Drosophila melanogaster: one gene and its partner. The protein of the gene in region 2 interacts with the protein of the main gene of each other region in a pairwise test. Each region holds a gene or a part of one and is shown on either strand. Other genes may lie near its edges.

The links.
Region 1: the proteins of Btk (region 2) and CG4563 interact in a two-hybrid assay, tested with the Drosophila melanogaster proteins (one large-scale study listed by BioGRID).

The regions. Positions count from the first base shown.
Region 1 is NT_033778.4:24,451,334-24,455,090, reverse strand, and holds the start of CG4563 (uncharacterized protein), read left to right. Parts: upstream 1-2,050; 5' UTR 2,051-2,085; coding exon 2,086-2,235; intron 2,236-2,302; coding exon 2,303-2,697; intron 2,698-2,763; coding exon 2,764-2,880; intron 2,881-2,938; coding exon 2,939-3,757.
Region 2 is NT_033779.5:8,298,602-8,302,358, reverse strand, and holds the start of Btk (bruton tyrosine kinase), read left to right. Parts: upstream 1-1,612; 5' UTR 1,613-1,853; intron 1,854-3,757. Other genes in the region: wol (wollknaeuel), read left to right, coding at 27-423, 480-822. UniProt on the Drosophila melanogaster protein: Required for proper ring canal development. Also required for the development of male genitalia and for adult survival.

The DNA of each region.
Region 1 (3,757 bases), on a different chromosome or scaffold from region 2:
TGCGCTTCGGCGGCATCCGTCGAGCACGTGGCGGACCACCAACAAGTGTGATAAGCGTGATAAGGCCCCGAACGCAAATCCAAATGTTTTCCACCGAGCCACCGGGGGATTGGTGTCTAAGGTCAGGGACACTGACCGCACACCGCTGATACCAGACAGTTGGAAGCAAGTGCGAAAAAAGTACGGAAACTATAGTTTATGAAAGTGACCATCGTATCTAGGATCTAAGTATATATCTCTATATTGCAGTGAATATTAATAATTAACTTCGAGCTTAAAATGACTTATTATCTAGAGGTGGTATTCCAATTGTGGGAACCATTAAAATCAAATGCAAAATGATGTCTCACGGTGGGCAGTGTTGGAGCTGATAAGCCGCCTGCTTACAAACTAGATATCAGTGGGCCCAATTAGTTTCTCCACTAATTTCTTATCGAAAATTTGGAACCCCATCAAGGAAGCCTATATTCATTCAGAAAACAATAGGGATCTCCAGTGAAATAGTATTCTTATCAGGCATCGACAGTCCGCCGTATTATGCAACTATTTGCACTTGAGACACAGTTACCTCGCCATCCTGGCAACAAAGTTTTAGTCTTATCACACAGGTGAAACCCCCAAGCGCAGGTGCACTTTCATTCAGAAAGAATTAGTGACGCGGAGGGCGATAAGCCGTGGAATAATAGTATTTCCTTATCAGCCATCGACTGCTAATTCAATTATGTAACAGTTCGCACTCGAGTGATGTTAATTAATTAAGCCGGCACTTGAAGCACAAACTGGCTGTCTGTCCGTCGGATTAGTCATCCACAAGTACGGCCATAGCATCTCGTCAACCCGACATACTTGCGGTGGAATCACCTGGGAGGTGGGGGCATCTCATTATAACGCACATTATTAACTGACGCCTCGTGTCACGCCCGAGTGGGCAAGGAGACCACGTTGGGGTAACCCGCCAGGACTGGCGCCCAAAACCGCCAATCAAATCGGCATCGCAATCGCAATCGCACTCGCACTCGCACTCGCTGACTCGGAACGGCGGCTCGTCCTGCCCGAAAGTCCGTAGGACTTAAAGCCTTAAGATGCAGTTTCCTGCGGTGGCACCCCCCATTTGCATGCCAATCGTCGGGAGCATCTTGTCCGGGTCCTTGCTTATGCATTTCGCCGGGTCCTGCTCATTTTGCCAAACAAATTCAGAAACACTTTAAACTATTTTGCTCGCTTTTGGCCGCTCTGTCTGTAATTTCATGTTAATATATGCATGCAACCGAACTCCCGGAGCTTTTCGAGGTACAGCCCCCCTTTTGGGGCGCCGACACACAATGCAAATAGCGCAACAGGGCGTGGCCCTCCCCGAAATTATTACAGCCATAATAAAATGCCGGCGTTGAGTTCATTTAAAAGGAACTATTTCGGAGAGTCCTTTGAAAGCGGCGCAGAACAACATTTAAGTTCAGGTTAAGCTGGCGAAATAGTTTCTGAAAACTTAAAGTAAACGTTCCAGGCGGGTCAAATAGATACTTCAAAGGATATTTAATATCACGAGCTTAAAACTATTTACAATATAAAGCGCAATTCTCTGTTAATCAATCACAAAATACATTTTTTATGCCACGTCCAAGTAATACCAGGTGCAATCAAATTAGAACGAAAAATATTGTACTTGCAAGGTAATCCCTTATAGTTTCCAAGATATCGTTCGTCAGAATCTATCTGTTAAATATTTTTCTAAGAATATAGTACAGCTTTTTATCTGACAAAAGTTCGGGAATTAATACTTTTGACCCCGGCGAAGTTTGCTTACTCACCTGCCTCTGAAAGGTGTTCCCATGGGACAAGTGGTACGGAAGTCACTGCCTCCTGGAGCGGAAATTAAAAAAGTGACTCCGGCTAGATTAGACGAGCCCACCTCGGGAATCAGCTGATGTTACCGTAAATCTTCGACTTATTTTGGCCAAACTTTGGACTCGGCAAGTGTAGCGATTAATTGCTTAATTGATATGATAAGCGCCCCTTCAGGGCGATATAAAAAGACAACGTAACGGCTCTGGGCACTCAGTAGAGATTTAGAATTGGACTAGCAAAATGCCGACAAAGGCGGTTTTCCCCACCTTCTTCAACAAGGAGACCCAGGTCTGGAGTGGCCCGCCACGGCCCACGGTCTACGACCACAACACCTCGGTCGGTCAGATCGTGTTCAACTCCCTGAGGTGCTGGCCCACCAATGTGATTCAGGTAAACGATTGCGTGACTGGTAGCCGGCGGAGACGGGAATCTGATGAGCTCGATTATATAAAAGTAGATCACCGACGACGACGGCACCGTGCTGACCAACGCCGACATGCTGGCCTACGCCACCCGGATTGCCCTATTCTTTAAGAGCGAGGGCTTGACCCAGGAGGACCGCGTCGGGATCATCGCCAACTCGAGCACCTTCGTGATCCCCGTGGCCACCGCCTGCTTCTTCCAGGCCACGCCCTTCCACGCCGTCAACTACTCCAGGGAGCCGGCCATCGTACAGGGTCTCTACTCGGTGACCAAACCCAAGATCATGTTCATCGACGGTCCGGACTACGACCGCATCAAGGAGATCACCAAGGAGTGGTCTCCCAAGCTGATCACGCTCACGGGTAAAGTGGAGGGCGTTACTAGCATCGAGGACCTCGTAAAGCCCCATCCCGCCGAGAAGATCTATGTGTGAGTAGTTTGAGATCTTCAATCAATTTAAATTTCAATAAATTCATTATTTTAAATATCTTTCAGACCTGCTTCCCTGGCCACTGGTGGCGACCAGATCGCCGTGGTCCTGTGCTCCTCCGGCACTGCTGGCTTGCCCAAGGCAGTTGCCCTCTCCCACCGCCACATTGCATCCACCAACTCGTGAGTTCTCAAGTTCAAAGCTCCCAGACTAGCCAGTCTAACCCATCTCTTCCCACAGGCTGTGCATCAGTACCGATGTGCTGTACACCAGTGCCACCATCGACTGGATGACCGGATTCTCGATTACCGTAATGAATCTCACATGTGGCTTCACTCGCATCATATCCAGGAGGACATTTAGCGCCGAGACGGCTCTCTACCTGGTCAGCAAGTACAAGGTCACCTGCCTGGCAATGGCGCCATGGCAGGCCTACGAGCTCTTCACCAGTCCACTGGCCACCAGCGAGCAACTGGAGTCCCTGAAGATAGCCTTCGTGATTGGAGGATGGATATCCCTGGCACTACTGCGGCGGGCCCAGGAGCTGCTGCCCAAGACCTACGTGATGTTCTCGTACGGAACCACGGAGACGGGAGTGGTGACCATCAACATCGACCACAGTCTGGAGTGCTCTGTAGGCAGACTGGCGCCCGGCATGAGGATCAAGATCCAAGGCGAGGATGGCCAGCAGCTGGGCGTGAATCAGACGGGCGAGGTGCTCATCGACATCGGCCTGAAGTGGGAGGGCTACCTCTCGAACCCGGAGGACACGGCCACCACCCTCCAGGATGGATGGATCAACCTGGGCGACCTGGGCTACTTCGACGAGGACAACAACCTGTACTTGGTGGACCGCAAGAAGGACCTGCTGAAGTACAAGTCCAAGCACTACTGGCCCAACGAGATTGAGCAGATCATCGCCGAGCTCCCGGAGGTGGAGCACGTGTGCGTGGTAGGCGTGCGGGATGCGAGATACGGTGACGCCGCCGGAGCCCTGATCATCAAGAAGGAGGGCGCCGAGATCGCCGACCAGAAGGTCATCGACCACGTGGCCCAGCG
Region 2 (3,757 bases):
ATTTGTGTGTGTTTATACTCGTTTAGTGCCTTCTATGCTGGACGAGTGCTTGGCCTTTCTGGAACAGAAATCTGCTGGCACTCCCAATTTCACATACGAGGTCATCGTGGTCAGTGACGGCAGTCAGGATGCCACCGTATCCGTCGCCTTGGGTTACTCGAAAAAGCACGGAGCAGAAAAGGTACGCGTGCTGGAACTCATCGAAAATCGTGGGAAAGGAGGTGCCGTTCGCATGGGTATGCTAAGTGCACGGGGTCGTAATCTGCTCTTCGCTGATGCGGATGGAGCCACCAAGTTTCCCGACTACGATAAACTGGAGGTGGCCCTCAAGCAATTAGCTCCCGAATGGCGAGACGATGGCATTGCCATTGGATCGAGAGCACATCTGGAGAACGATGCGATTGCAACAAGGAGTTTCTTCAGGTAAGATAAAATCCTACATTTATTAGCTGACCAAATACTGATCTGCGTTGCCACAGAACAATTTTGATGCACGGCTTTCATTTCCTCGTCTGGCTGTTTGCCGTGCGCTCCATTCGCGATACCCAGTGTGGCTTCAAGCTGTTCACCCGAACGACGGCCAGGAAACTCTTCACCAGTCTGCATGTGGAGCGCTGGGCCTTTGATGTTGAGCTGCTGTACCTCGCTGAGAATTTGAAGCTACCAATGTCCGAGGTTGCCGTTCGATGGACGGAGATCGATGGTTCGAAACTGACACCATTTTGGTCGTGGCTGCAAATGGGCAGGGATTTGTTCATGATCTGGGTGCGATATTTGGTGGGCGCCTGGCGGATTGCCTCCATACAGAAGAAGGAAAAGTGATGTGGACTTGGAGGGCATCTCATTCCCAATATTAACTAGCATTTTGTGTCGAACTTACTCCGCTGTCGTGCATTACCAAAACTCTTTTAACTCTAAACTCTATTTTTGTAGGCCTGATAAAGTGTAACGAATTCTAGCTAGTTAAGTACTTAAGTACAGTATTTTTTCAAATAAAAAATAATTGATTTGAATAAAATTGCGCGGCAATGGTTCTAAATTGTTAGTAATCTAAAAAAAGTAACTATACCAAGTCGTCTTCCTTTAGTATATTGCGCTTTAAATATATAAAGTTTCGTCACATTGCTTGTTTAATTTTGGAACGAAGAAATAATTAAAATCACTAGTTATTTTTTTGAAATATTGAAATACGCGGGAAAATAAAATAAAAGGCAGTATGTGTGGTATTTTGTATTCTTCTGGTATTTTAAGAGTAGTTATTTTCATATCGGTGTATCTCCCCACTCGAAGTGCGGTCACACTGCAAAGAAGTTGCGGCGGCGCGTTTAGTTTCGTATTAAATCGTTACTATTTAATTACAGTTAATTAGTGTAAACAAACCAATCAAACATAGATACAGCTGCCACGTGAATAAACGGAAAAGATTCTAGTTAAAGCGTAGGATCGCGAGTGCAACTGCCATGGGCGCCGCTAAGTAAGGAATTCCAGGAATCCTACGTTGCGCCTGTTGCTCCTCTCCCGCTCTCCAAAATTGCGTGCAGGTGTGTGCGGGTGTCTGCTCGTCTGTGTGAGCGTCTCAGCTGTGCCTGCGTTATATATTGTTTATAAAGATTTTTTCGCAGTATGCAAATGCTGAACAAGCCGGTCGGTTGATATTTCGTATTTACTCTCGTCGCCGCGCAAACGAAAGTGTTTTGTTATTGTTGCGTTACCCGTTGCGTCTGCCCCCTCCAATTGGAGAATTGTGATTTGTTAGTGGTGTGCGCTGCTGGTGTTGTTGTTGTACTTGCTGTTATTGTTGTTGCTATGCGGTCGGGTCATTGCTTCAAATTGCTCAATCAACGGCACTTGTGGTAAGCTGGTGAACTGGCACAGTTATCAATTTTATTCCTCCTTTCCGTCCCCTTTTTATCGCTATCGAATTACATACATACTTCTTTTGTTCTTTGTCTTATCAGCATTTATTCAATTGCCCAGCAAGCTGCGCTTGAAACTATTGTATTCTGATAAGAAAGGCGAACTCTGTGCTCGACGCATTCTAATCAGACGCCCTTGCTTTTGCATTTTCTGAATGCATTTCATTTTAAGGCATCGTGCAACGCAAAAAAAAACAAATCAAAGTTAATATAAATAATTATGCTGTGCTGATTTTATTAATCAGCTTATGGCGACTTTAGCTTAAAGTCACAATAGAAACTAATTACACGAAATTTTTTGTTGTTGTAATAATAACAAATAGAAGTACTGCTAAAAAAATATCGTTTACATAGTTGCTTAACTTATTTTAAATTAAAAATCAATCTTTTTGGAATATAAAGTAACTCAAAAATTGATTTCAAATTAGACTGAAATTCTTGCTAAGGTCGCAGATTCTCCAGTCTTCCTCTTCCACTAGAAAAAGCGCGACAATAAACAAAAATTAAATGCAAAGAAGAATACAAACTAAGCGCGACCATTTGCGTGGCGAAATTCAAAGTCAAAAACGAGTTGCCAGGCCACGCCCGCTATATGTATATATACATATATACTATATGTATGTATATTGATGTGCTTATAGCCCAGGTCTTTGGGCCTCTCGCTCCACCAAAAAGATTTATGTACACATTGCGCCTTCTGCCTTTTTGCCATCCTTTTTTTCCTTTCTGTGCCTCGGTCCGTGTTTATTTTATTACTTATGGCCATGCGCGTTGCGCTGAAGATTCTGATTCTCTCGCCCTCTCTTTTTACGCTCCGTTCGCCCATGCCCCCGCACTCCGCTCCTGTTTTTGTAGCGGCTCTGCTTGATTAAAGCGCGTGGGGGGTGGGGGGCGTCAGGAGACGGTGAGGAGGAAGAGTTGATCAGGAGATCCAGCCAATTGTTGTTGTCGCACGAGCATTTGTCGCCTTAGCTTTGTTTCCCTTTTTTGCAGACGCGTCCGTTCATGTTCCTTGATGATCAGAAGCGGATTTGTGAATCAGATAAAGAAAATCATATCGTCAGAGTAAAGAAAACTAAAACTTTTTTTTATTAAACAAACTCTTTTTAAAATCATCCTTAGTAAGATGTTTAAATAAATCAATAACTCAACCATTCCCGAATTCAGAGCACTTCGCTCCTGGAGTCTTCCTGCGTCTTGTTAGCTTTTGTTGAAGTGTGATAATGCCAGAGATCGTGTGGTGGCTGCTCCTCCGCTTGGAGCCACCTTTTCAACGGCCCGTTTGTTTGCGTACACGCTTCTCGTTTTGCGAAATGGAAGTTGTGGGGACAAGGTGGCAAGGAAATGGGGAATATGCCGCTTTGGGGGCTAATCCTTTAATCCGCTGTGCGCGACTTCAAGGTCAGCAAGTGATCTTTACTAGTGTATACCAACCTATATGTATCTCCTGTCTGCTCGGGGGCTAATTAATTGTTCGTTTAATCGTTCGATTTGCTGACCGACTCGTCTGTCCACTGGATTTTCCCTTCCTTGGCTCCACACTTCTCCATTAATAGGCAGTATACAGTATCTGTAAATGAATAACTTTATTTTCATCCACTTTTCGCCATCCCATACTGATTGATGCCAAGCGGAACGCCCACGGCAATTAGTCAACCAGGTAACTCCCAGTGCTCCAATGTTTTGGTGGCCCCATGTTCCACGGTCAATGCCTCGAGGGGCGCTGCAAAAAAGATTCGCACGCCCACGCCCACGCCCCCCAAAATAGATTTATGGCCTTGCCTCTGCAGAGTGTGTTGTAACCAATCTTTTTGGGCGAGCGCTTCTAATTTTAACCCTCT